Linked DNA regions of Xenopus tropicalis. The protein of the gene in region 2 purifies or fractionates together with the protein of the main gene of each other region. This does not show direct contact. Links are inferred from orthologs where the notes say so. Each region holds a gene or a part of one and is shown on either strand. Other genes may lie near its edges.

Region 1 (6,569 bases), on a different chromosome or scaffold from region 2:
TTGGCTGTAGCAAGCAATGCCAGGCAGCAGGGGCAAGGGCAAACAGGGTATTGAGCTGTATTAAAGGGGTATAGATTCACGGGAGGAGGGGGTTATTCTTCCCCTTTACAGAGCGCTGGTAAGGCCCCATCTAGAATATGCTGTTCAGTTTGGGTCTCCAGTGCTCAAACGGGACATTATTCAATTAGAGAGGGTCCAAAGAAAGGCAACTAAGTTGGTAAAGGGTATGGAAAGTCTCAGATATGAAGAAAGACTGGCCAAGTTGGGTCTGTTTACACTGGTGAAGATGCGCTTAAGAGGTGATATGATAACTATGTATAAATATATAAGGGGATCATATTATAACATCTCAAATGATTTATTTACCAGTAGGTCCTTCCAACCGAAACAAGGGCACTCATTCCATTTAGAAGAAAGGAGGTTCCGTTTAAGCTGTGAAGTTGTGGAATTCCCTCCCTGAACCAGTCATACTGGCTGATACATTATATAGCTTTAAGAAGGGGCTGGATGGCTTATTAGCAAGTGAGGGAATACAGGGTTATGGGCTATAGCTTTTAGTACAAGTTGATCCAGGGACTGGTCCGATTGCCATCTTGGAGTCCGGAAGGAATTTTTTCCCCTCTGTGGCAAGTAAAAGGCTTCAGATGGGGTTTTTTGCCTTCCTCTGGATCAAGTAGCAGTTAGGCAGTTTATATAGGCATTATGTTTGAACTTGATGGACATATGTCTTTTTTTCGACCTAACTTACTATGTTACAAAGTGACAATGTTCCACAACATTGTATGATAAATGTATGTATACATTATTTCAACATAAAAGAATAAATACATAAGAACCAATAACCAATACAAGAGGTAAGGAGTATCCTGCCCCCCTTAAAAAAATAGTTTGTCTTAAACATTAGAAACTGAAAAATTCAATTCAGTTTCCTCAAATAAAAACTGTTGTTCAGTACACTTTCATTTAAAATTCTTTTTTTTTTTTTTACTCTTGCCCATGCTATTTACCCACATTTGCCAGTGGGGGGGGGGGGGGGGGTGAGAGAGGCCCACAGACTGTTGCTGGGTAAAATAGCAGCCTCAGCTTTCCTTCTTCCCCCTGGGGACACACAAGGAGACAGTATGGCCTGGACATGACAGGGAGAGCAGACCTTGTTGGTGGGGCTGGCGCTAGTGATGCATGAACTCCTTTCCCCTAGCCGTTTGCGCATGTGTAATAGGATTGCCTGCGTCTGCGGTTACCACACGTGCGAACAGCTAGGAGAAAGGAGCTAGGGCAGATAAAAGGTATTCCAGTCTTCCTTATCGCTTCATGCCGAAATGCATAGCGCGGAGCCACGCCCATCACTAGGTCTTATTATCGGTGTAGGGCTTATATTTAACAAATGCATAGAAATCCTGCTAGGGCTTATTTTTTGGGTAGTTCTTATTTTCGGGGAAACACAGTACTAGTAGCTCTGTGTGTCGTCACACTACAAAAGTTAGTCAGTCCGTGGCCATCAGTTGCTCTGTGAGAATCGAACGGAAACATTTTTTTTTAGGCCAGTTTGATCTTGCCTGTCACTTTTACAGGGGAATGATATAACCTTTACTTGTGAGAAGCTGTCTGCTTGCATCCATGTCTATCACACAGACAACTGCTCAAAAGAAAATAGCCATGTGGAAGACCAAAAAGACCCTTGGATAGGCGAAATTGAATGCAAAAATAAATAAACTTTGCAGATCCGATAAAGAATTGGATTTCATCATTACTATTAAGATGCAGCAATTTGTCCTGCTGGTACAAACCCTATAAATAGACAAAACCCCTAGTGTGCACTTTACAGTGCCATCATCATACTCGCATCACATGATACAGATATGATAATACTTTTGATTAGAATGCTATTTTGTCTGACAGCTGCAGTCTGTAGGCCAAGAGAACCAGGGTACAGCCTAGGATTATTCAGTATCTCTCATATCTGCCCTATATGGTTTACAAAGATTACAGATTGATTGTAACCCCTATATTACAAGTGGAGATTTTTCTATTAGACAAATCTTGCAGCTTCTTGAAGGTGTTTTGTACTTGTGTGTATTCTAATAAAAGTTCTTTTTTTTTTTTTTGCATCTAAGTGTGCATAGATTACAGTAATGTAGTAGAACGCTTTGCATTCACCCACACAAAATTCACCATGGCGCATCTAAATCAGGACAGGTGCACTGAGTACTTCCAAACAAATACATAATTCAGATTTTGCTTTAAGCACCAGAAAGCTGGACATAATTTGAAATTACAAATGAAAATTTCAGGATTACCCATATCAGTTTTATTCATCTCAATAAGTCTGGGTAATTAAAGCAATTTTTGACTATGCTTAACCCGGAGTCCACAATTAGATCTCATATTCAGTTTGCTATTCTGATTTGCTGCATGCTTATTATGAACATTTGTACATAGTTTAAAATGAATCAGAAGTAGAAATGGTCCCTTTTCAAAGCAGCCACTAACTATTAGAACAACATATAAACCAATTTTTTAAAATGTAGTTAGTGTGTAACTTACCAAGTGGGCAAGCTCAACCTTCTGTTCCAGAAGGCGTAGCTCTGTCTGTTTAGTCCGCCTTTCCTCAAAGAGCTCACGTCTCTCAGTCTCCACTTGTTTCTTTTCTTCTTCAGCCTGCACTTCAAGCTTTTGTTCTATTTCGTGGCGCCTTTTTTGCTGCAGTTTGGATAGGAGAAATTGTAAGTAAATTAGTCACTTTGGCTGAAGACGTGCAAAACAAATATTTGCATGACATGTTATATTGGCACAGACAAAAAATTACAAATTACCAAGCATACATTACCTGCTCTGTTGCCACATTTGACTCTTGCTTAAACTTCTGAAGAGTACCCATCAACAGGCCAAATATTCGCCGATTCCTGTAATTAAGAAGAAAATAAAATTATATGCAAGACTTAAACCTCCAACTTCGATTTTAAGTCAACTGTTTTGACAAAAAAGAAAAAAAGGGGGGGGGGGTGCAAAAGTAAATTTTTTCTACCTTTGTTTGCCTTTCTCATCCATGTTCTGATCTTGTATAAGATCTCGGCGTGTACGTTCTTTGGAGGTAGCAACAACTGAGGACTGCAACGCTGGCTACAATTTAGAAACAAAATAGGAGTAAGTACCTTTGACACGTAGGACAACATTAAAGCAACCCCACTCTTGGATTAAAGGAGATATATTGTATAAAAAACAAGAATGTGCCAGCGCATTATACTTCTCTAAATATACTTGAGAGTAGTGTTTCAGGCAGATGTACTGAAAATTTCACAAAAAACCCCTACCAATCCCACCCATCTGTTCTTCTTCCCGCTGCCCCCTTTCCCAAACTGTGCAGGGGAGCTGGCAGCCCTCAGAGCACTTCATTGTAGGATAGGAACCAATCAGAAGCTAGGCTGACCTAGAAACTGAAGCCTGTCTTTGCTTGTGTCACTGCAGGGTTGCAATTGGCTATGCCCCACCCACTGTGTGTCTGTCAGGGACCATTAGGACAAACCCACCCCTGATTTTAAACAGACACATAGTTACATAGGGTTGAAAAAAGACCAGAGTCCATCAAGTTCAACCCATCCAAGTAAACCCAGCACACACAACCCACACCTACCAAGCTATACACTCACATACATAAACTATATATACACAACCACTAACTGTAGATATTAATATCACAATAGCCTTGGATATTCTGATTGTTCAAGAACTCATCCAGGGCCCTCTTAAAAGGCATTAACAGAATCTGCCATTACCACATCTATAGGAAGGGCATTCCCCAACCTCACTGCCCTCACCGTGAAAAACCACCTACGCTGCTTCAAATGGAAACTCGGTTCCTCTAATCTAAAGGGGTGACCTCTGGTACGTTGATTGTTTTTATGGGAAAAAAGACCACCCCCTATCTGCCTATAATCCCCTCTAATGTAATTGTACAGAGTAATCATGTCCCCTCTCAAGCACCTCTTTTCCAGAGAAAACAACCCCAACCTCGACAGTCTAACCTCATAGTTTAAATCTTCCATCCCCTTAACCAGTTTAGTTGCAAGTCTCTGCACTCTCTCCAGCTCATTAAATATCCTTCTCAAGGACTGTAGCCCAAAACTGCACTGCATACTCAAGGTGAGGCCTTACCAAGGACCTATAAAGGGGCAAAATTATGTTCTCATCCCTTGAGTCAATGCCCCTTTTTTATACAAGACAGCACTTTATTTGCTTTAGTAGTCACAGAATGACACTGCCTGGAATTAGACACTGCCTGGAATTGTTATCTACAAAAACCCCCAGATCCTTCTCCATAAAGGATACCCCCAACAAACTACCATTCAGTAGATAGTTCATGTTTATATTATTTCTACCAAAGTGCATAACTTTGCACTTGTCAACATTGAACCTCATTTTCCAGTTTGCTGCCCAGTTTTCCAATTTTTTCAAATCGCTCTGCAAAGTGGCAGCATCCTGCATGGAACTTATAGTTTTGCACAATTTTGTGTCATCAGCAAAAATAGAAACAGTACTGTCTATGCCCACCTCCAGGTCATTAATAAACAAGTTAAAAAGCAAAGGACCAAGGACAGACCCCTGCGGTACTCCACTAACCACACTGGTCCAATTAGAAAATGTTCAATTTATCACCACTCTTTGTGATCTATCCTTCAGCCAGTTCTCTATCCAATTACAAATATTATGTTCTAGGCCAATATTCCTCAATTTGATCATTAACCGTCTGTGAGGTACTGTATCTCTGTGAGCAGATCTATAGAGAGCTCCAATAAATAATAATGATAATTTTTAGCCCAAAGTGAAAGCAACACCATAAATTATTCATTATTGCCCACAGAATTAGGGTTTTTTCACGTATCACATACAGTGGCTTGCAAAAGTATTCGGCCCCCTTGAACTTTTCCACATTTTGTCACATTACAGCCACAAACATGAATCAATTTTATTGGAATTCCACGTGAAAGACCAATACAAAGTGGTGTACACGTGAGAAGTGGAACGAAAATCATACATGATTCCAAACATTTTTTTACAAATAAATAACTGCAAAGTGGGGTGTGCGTAATTATTCAGCCCCCTGAGTCAATACTTTGTAGAAGCACCTTTTGCTGCAATTACAGCTGCCAGTCTTTTAGGGTATGTCTCTACCAGCTTTGCACATCTAGAGACTGAAATCCTTGCCCATTCTTCTTTGAAAACATCTCCAGCTCAGTCAGATTAGATGGACAGCGTTTGTGAACAGCAGTTTTCAGATCTTGCCACAGATTCTCGATTGGATTTAGATCTGGACTTTGACTGGGCCATTCTAACACATGGATATGTTTTGTTTTAAACCATTCCATTGTTGCCCTGGCTTTATGTTTAGGGTCGTTGTCCTGCTGGAAGGTGAACCTCCGCCCCAGTCTCAAGTCTTTTGCAGACTCCAAGAGGTTTTTTTTCCAAGATTGCCCTGTATTTGGCTCCATCCATCTTCCCATCAACTCTGATGGACTTCATGGTGTTGTTGTTCCCAATATTCTCTTAGACAACCTCTGAGGCCGTCACAGAGCAGCTGTATTTGTACTGACATTAGATTACACACAGGTGCACTCTATTTAGTCATTAGCACTCATCAGGCAATGTCTATGGGCAACTGACTGCACTCAGACCAAAGGGGGCTGAATAATTACGCACACCCCACTTTGCAGTTATTTATTTGTAAAAAATGTTTGCAATCATGTATGATTTTTGTTCCACTTCTCACGTGTACACCACTTTGTATTGGTCTTTCACGTGGAATTCCAATTAAATTGATTCATGTTTGTGGCTGTAATGTGACAAAATGTGGAAAAGTTCAAGGGTGCCGAATACTTTTGCAAGCCACTGTATGTCTCCTTTAAAAGAACATCATACTTTTTTATCATCTTCATCCTCTGCGTCGCTTTCCTGGCGTGACTCTCTTCTTTGGCGACGCTCCCCACCCAGCCTAGAAAAGTAAAATTACCCCTATTACAAAATTCCACAGGAATCATATGCATTTATTTAAACTGCATTACTGCTTAAATAAAATGAGCGCTATTTCTTTTTAATTGAACTTTGGCCTGATTTCCTTACACAAATACTACACTGTAACACTTATGAAATGTTTTAAATTAGTGGAGCATAAATTCGCAAAAACTTACATTACTGGTGAATGACTGCACCTGATAACTAGTGGTACCTGTAGCCAAAAGCCATCAGAAATCAGCACTTTTATTAAAGGGGTTGTTTACCTTTAACTTTTATTATGACACGGACATTGAAAAACCATGAATGAAAACCAACTGCAGATTTTCTCAAAACATCGGTTATTTAACTTCTTGTTCAGCAGCTATCTGGTTGCTAGGATCTTGTTTTACCTTAGCAACCAGTTTAAAGGAGAGACTGGGGTATGAATAGGAGAGGTACATGAACATTGTCTGATACACACCAAATCTTGATAATTTTTGGGTGAGCGCTGCTACTGAATATAGCCAGAAGCCATCAGCCAACGGCCACGAAAAGACAAGAAGTGTGCAACATCAAGTTTG
Region 2 (6,569 bases):
GCTTAAATGGCTTAAAGTGAGATAACTTACTTCATAAAGTTCTAATGCGATGTAATTAAAACCAAGAACTAAAAAAAGGTCTTTCAAGAACATCGATAAGACGCTTTGGGACCAATCATGTGAGATTATACAATAGGAACCCCAGTTAGAACAGGGAGGCCGGTTTTAACAGGATCAAAATTAGGAGTGCAATACGTGACTATCCAGACTCCCATATAACTGACCTAAACTGCAAAGCACCCACTTATCCAATACAACGGACTAAAAAAAGATGCCAAAATTACAATACAGGTATAGGACCCATTATCCAGAATGCTCGGTACCAAGAGTATTCCGGATAAGGGGTCTTTCTGTAATTTGGATCTCCATACCTAAAGTCTACTAAAAAAAAAAATCAAAAAACATTAAACCCAATAGGATTGTTTTGCCCCAATAAGGATTATTTATGTCTTAGTTGGGATCAAGTACAGGTACTGTTTTATTATTACAGAGAAAAGGGAATCATTTAACCATGAAATAAACCCAATAGGGCTGTTCTGCCCCCAATAAGGGGTAATTATATCTTAGTTGGGATCAAGTACAGGTACTGTTTTATTATTACAGAGAAAAGGGAATCATTTAACCATGAAATAAACCCAATAGGGCTGTTCTGCCCCCAATAAGGGGTAATTATATCTTAGTTGGGATCAAGTACAGGTACTGTTTTATTATTACAGAGAAAAAGGAAATCAGTTTTAAAATTCTGAATTATTTGATTAAAATGGAGTCTATGGGAGATGGGCAGGTAACAGAGCTGCAAGGGATGGACCAGCAGAAGTATCAAGTCACAGCAAGGAATGCATTGGCTAGAATAGTGCTTATAGCTCAAGAAATGGCCACCTTTACATCTTATAAGCCACTAAACATTTTTAAAATCAGTGTATTGGAAAATTGCTCTAAATTACAATGTCATTCATTTTTTTTATAAGATGACGTCCATTTAATAGCCCTCTATTAAACGGACGTCATCTTATAAAAAAAATGCGAGTTTCCACATCCAGCTCAAATTGCTGACCCAACTACACTTCGATTACAGACCAACAACAGGTCACACTGTGCTGTAGGACCGTAGACTAGACAACAAAATGCATGCAATTTCAAGACTGTACCGAAAATAACAGCCACAAGTAATATGCCTATCCCACCTGTACCAGCCCAAAATGCCACATTTATTGCTTGTGAAGCCTTCTTGGAAGGCTCAAATGGCCTGAAAGCACCAGTGTCAAGATAATAACCTGGCTGTATTTGTTTTCATTCCTACATACATTCTTCAAAGACCATGGTAAGAAGCTAAATTAAGTGCCTCGTTGTCCTGACAATCTAACCAAGTATCAAAGAGGATATTACAGTATCAAAAAGGTGTCCAAAATACCCAAAACATCAAGTAAATAACAATAATCCGATTCAGAAGAACTTCCAATCACACATTTAGTTTTCCAGCCACCCAAGAAAATATTTATTGGGGTATTTCATGGATTTAGTTGGATGCATGCCCACTTTTTTGGGTATTTTCCCCATAAAGCTCATGAAAAAGAGATCCACAGATTTGTCACCATGCTGTGGATAAGATATAGCCAAGACTACAGAGGCATGGTTCAAAAGATTTGGAAAAGCCAAATAACTTAATATATTACTTCTGGCTTCATCTTGATATTTTCCATTCACTGCCTGACAGCAAGTCAATTGTGGGTGGCAGTTTGCAAATGGGACACAGAGCAAATGCAGAAGGCCACCACCCCTCTCCAATACTGAGGCTAAATTCTTCTGAACACCCTTAATGGGCAAGCAACACAAGCGCCCAAAACAACACCGCTATAAATGACCAACAGATTTGCAATGTGATTCTTTGTGAAACTCTTACATTTGTAGGGAACTGACCAGAAAAGGTTACTCTGCCTTCAACTGACACAGCAGCCGTACAAAGGCAAGGGCACACCTCAACCGTACAGCTTATCTCAAGCTCACAGCCAAAGGTCTCTTGGCACCCAGACAGCATTTTTGGCGTTGATGGGTAAAAATTTAAACTACAAATAGTTTTGTGTAGAACTGCTTGACATTTAATGACCAACAAGCTATTTTTCATTCATCCTGTCATAGTAATGCAGGAAAGCATTAAAGTGGTTGGTTCACCCTTTGAGTAAACTTTTAGTATCATGTAAAGAGTAATATTCTGAGGCAATTTACAATTGATCTTCATTTTTTTTAATATTTCTAGTTTTTTTTCGTTATTTCATTTTCAGTTCAGGAGCTCTCCAGTTTAGAGTTTCAGCAGCTATTTGGTTGGTAGGGTCCAAGTTACCTTAGCAACCAGGGAGTGATTTGAATAAGAGACTTGTATATGAATAAAGGTCCCCATACACGGGCAGATTCAGCAGCTTATTGGCCCGTGTAGGGGCAGAAGTAAGGGGCCTGCCCAGCCTATATCTGGCCTGAAATTGGCCAGATATTGATGAGCCAGGTTAGAAAATTCAGTCGGATCGGGGAACACATCAGCTCGTTGATGCGGTCCCCGAACCGACTGCGCCATTGACGCCAATATAATTCGATCGTTTCGCCCCAGGGCCAAAAGATCGAATTAGCCTACAGGTGGGGATATATGGGGTGAAGATCAGCTCACTTGGCAATCTCGCCAAGCGAGCAAATCGTAAAGTGTATGGGGACCTTAAGAGAGGGACTGAATAGACAAAAAAAACGGTAGCCTCACAGAGCAATAGTTTTGGCTGCCGGAGTCAGTGACCCCCATTCAAAAACTGCAAAGAGTTGGAAGAAGGAGGCAAATAATTCAAAAAGCTAAAACAAATAATGAAGACCAATTGAAAAAGTTGCTTATAACTTGTCATTCTATAACATACTAAAAGTCAACACCAAAAACCCACATGTTGATAGAGGTAAGCACGGAAGTAATGTAAACACGACTCACATCTTTATAGCCTTTTTCCGCTGGGCTTCGGCCTCTGTCGCTTCTCCGATTTCTTTTCGGAGAGACGGATCTTTTCCTTTCTGGGCTCTCCTTTGCCGCGCTTGACGGCTTGGCACGATCGGATTTGCTTCTCGGTGGTGGGCTGCTTCTCGATCTAGAAGAAAAAATATTCAGCAATGCTACTACAAAAGCAACTAGTTATGTATGTGTTGGTATCGATTGGTAGGTGTGAGTTGTGGGTGCTGGGTTTACTTGGAAGGGTTGAACTTGATGGACTCTGGTCTTTTTTCAACCCTGTGTAACTGAGGCAGCCTTTTATATTACTCACTACATGAATGGTAGCGCTCAAAAAGTACCTGCTGCGTGATGTTTCATCTCGTGAAGAGGAGGAAACGTCTCTCTGCTTTGGGGAGGCACTAGGAGATCTGAATAATAAGAAAAAAAACCAGCATTTGAAAAAGGGGGACATACCTGACATTAGATTGTCACCAACTGCAACTCCTACTATGTCAGAGTTCACAATACTGCAGCTCTGTTTACAGTCAGTGTAGGAAAGCAGAGCCCCTATGGCATCCAATATACCACATACACCGACGTCAAGCCTCAAGTTCCTTCACTAGATAAAAGTCGTGTCACATTGTACGTTCTTTAATCGGTTAGGATGTTAGAGGTAAATGATTATACCAGGGCAATAAACCTGGCTAATAAAACTGTAGCTATGTTACGGGATGCATTGTATGAAAGGTAATGTCAGTTAGTTCTAAGCCCATTACCTCTTTTTTTTCTTCTCCTTGGTTTTACGTTTGCTCTTTGGGCTGCCGCACAAGAGACAGTAAAGAGGATATTTAGAGCCAGATATAAATACTTAGGCGAGTGTACACATGTTGCCATGCAGTTATAAACTGAACAATGTTATAAAAGGCACGACTCAACCCCACAAGAACAAATTCGGAACCCTCACCTGTGCTTCCGCTTCTTGGAGTTGGAGTCAGATCTAAAGAAAAAAAAAAAAAAGTAAATATTTTGGGGGTGGTGTTTTTAAAAATAGAAGAGTGAAGACCCCATGGGGATTACCTGTGCTTACGGGACTTGGCTTTCTTGTCCTTGTGGCTGGGAGAGCGACTTGAGGACCTGTGGGAAGGCAGAAGGGATTAGAGCAGTCAACTCCTCAGAGAATACTGCAAACAACTGACAAATACGCTGATGGCCTCAGGCGCAGAAATCACAAAGGAAAACTCCTGTTTGTCTTCAGTTTCTTCTACAGATTTCTAGTCCATCTTTTTTCCTCATAAAAAGATCAGTAATGCCAAATAAAGTGTTTTAAAGTGATTAAAATATGTTGTACTTTTGCCCTGCACTAGTACAGCTGGGGTGTTTGCTACAGAAACCCTACTATAGTTTATATAAATACCCCGCTGTGTAGCCCCGGGGGCAGCCATTCCTGCACTGGTACAGCTGGGGTGTTTGCTACAGAAACCCTACTATAGTTTATATAAATACCCCGCTGTGTAGCCCCGGGGGCAGCCATTCCTGCACTGGTACAGCTGGGGTGTTTGCTACAGAAACCCTACTATAGTTTATATAAATACCCCGCTGTGTAGCCCCGGGGGCAGCCATTCCTGCACCGGTACAGCTGGGGTGTTTGCTACAGAAACCCTACTATAGTTTATATAAATACCCTGCTGTGTAGCCCCGGGGGCAGCCATTCCTGCACTGGTACAGCTGGGGTGTTTGCTACAGAAACCCTACTATAGTTTATATAAATACCCCGCTGTGTAGCCCCGGGGGCAGCCGTTCCTGCACTGGTACAGCTGGGGCGTTTGCTACAGAAACCCTACTATAGTTTATATAAATACGCTGCTGTGTAGCATTTGAAATCTGGAAAGAGTCCGAAGAAAATGGCAAAGAATTCAAAAACTATAAAAGAAAAATTAAGACCAATTATAAGTTTGCTGAAATTTGCCCATTCTATAACATATTCAAAGTTAACTTAAAGTGGACCTGTCACCTTTCACAATTCCAAAATAAACTTTAGAAATATAAACTATATTGTTTAAGAACTTATTCTAGATCTCTGCTACCTTTGTAAGCAAAGCCGTTGTATCCCAACCCGCTGCTGCATTTTTGCTGGGTGCGAGCCGCCATATTGATCCGCCATCTTTATGTTTCACGTCTGTCCTGCTCTTTAATATCGCGCATGCGCTGTAAATGAAGGGACGCGTATAGTTCCTCACATCCAAATTGAGAAACTGTCACGCTCCTTTGCGAGTCTGTGCACCCCCAAGAATCTCAGGATAGAGCTCGCTCACAATAGTTAGGCGCGTCTCTACCATAATAACGTGTGCGCGTTCTCATTAAAGCTATGCGAGACTGATAGTCTCTATAGGGAGGGGGAGAATTGAAGGAGTGGTGACGTAGAATAAAAGGAGACGCCTCTATGCCTAAGGCATAGAGGCGTAGCTGAATACTTTTGATTGACAGGGCATAAAGATAATAGGCAATATCTGCGGAAAGACACAGAAAAGGAAAAAAAAAAAAAAAGAGAGCGCTGCTTTTCTGCACTATCTGAACCAGTAGCTGAATTTTCAGGTGAGAGTGACAGGTCCACTTTAAAGGTGAACTGCTCCTTTAATACAGATGAACAATAATTGGGGAAGGGGGCAGAGCTAAATTAAAGCAAAGTACACACAGGAGGAGCCTAAGAACTGCCCCGCCTCTAGAGAAATAACCATGTCTGCCCTCAAACCCCCAACACACTTACCGTCCACGATCTTTCTTTTTCTTCTTTTTCTTGTGTTTGGTGGGAGAAGGGGAGCGAGAACTGCCAGAATCTTCAATCAGACTACAAGAGGAAGAATCTCATTAACCCATTAAGTCCTCAGTGTACAGGAAAATGCACTGGAGGAATGCCATTCCCCCACATACCATGAAAGCTAATTCTTACCTATACTGCTTCTGCTGCTCCTGCTGTTTGGCTGCTGCATTGGCAGCTCTGCGATTGGGGTCGAAACTGCTCCCGTCCACATAGCTGTCACTGATCCCGAAAGCCTCACGTAGCCGCTCATTCTTCTTCTCGTTTGCTTCGGCCATTTGATGCGTCTCTGAAATACTAAACACAGAGAAAGTGTGTAAAAATGGGGAGTAATAAACAAATAGAATCAGTTAACATGTGCTTACACAGTGAAAATAGCTTCTTGCAGCCCCAGGTGCACGCTGTACCCACTGACGGGCAGATAAATACAAAAATGAAGAAAACAGCAGCACTCCGGTTGTTTTGAAAAATGTGAGTCTTTACTCAAGTGCCAAAGGCAACGTTTCGGGCTTCACTCCAGGCTTGATAAATGAGATATACCCTCCAATAAAGGCTTGCAGCTCACAAAGCTTAGTTTGGCCACTTACTTGGCTTTCTGCTTCTCCTCTTCTTTGCTTTGCGTCAGATCTTTCTCTTGCAGCATCAGTCTGAATGTGGCCACTTTCTCTTGGATCTCAGCTTCGCTGTACCTGGAGCGCACACAGAAGAGCATTGAGAAATTAAGATAGGGTATTATACAACTTGAAACGTTTCATTTGCTGCTTCCTTTAAAGGGGCATCTCACATTTAAATAAACTT

The links.
Region 1: the proteins of srrm2 (region 2) and pnn purify together in Homo sapiens (affinity purification with mass spectrometry; 3 studies listed by BioGRID and IntAct, with this or other methods). This does not show direct contact. The link is inferred for Xenopus tropicalis from reciprocal best matches to the Homo sapiens genes SRRM2 and PNN.

The regions. Positions count from the first base shown.
Region 1 is NC_030684.2:104,726,331-104,732,899, forward strand, and holds part of pnn (pinin), read right to left. Parts: intron 5,987-6,569; coding exon 5,914-5,986; intron 3,121-5,913; coding exon 3,026-3,120; intron 2,904-3,025; coding exon 2,828-2,903; intron 2,701-2,827; coding exon 2,545-2,700; intron 1-2,544. UniProt on the Homo sapiens protein: Transcriptional activator binding to the E-box 1 core sequence of the E-cadherin promoter gene; the core-binding sequence is 5'CAGGTG-3'. Capable of reversing CTBP1-mediated transcription repression.
Region 2 is NC_030685.2:12,495,263-12,501,831, reverse strand, and holds part of srrm2 (serine/arginine repetitive matrix protein 2), read right to left. Parts: intron 6,461-6,569; coding exon 6,359-6,460; intron 6,069-6,358; coding exon 5,904-6,068; intron 5,802-5,903; coding exon 5,721-5,801; intron 4,091-5,720; coding exon 4,034-4,090; intron 3,954-4,033; coding exon 3,921-3,953; intron 3,775-3,920; coding exon 3,733-3,774; intron 3,385-3,732; coding exon 3,316-3,384; intron 3,114-3,315; coding exon 2,960-3,113; intron 1-2,959. UniProt on the Homo sapiens protein: Required for pre-mRNA splicing as component of the spliceosome. As a component of the minor spliceosome, involved in the splicing of U12-type introns in pre-mRNAs.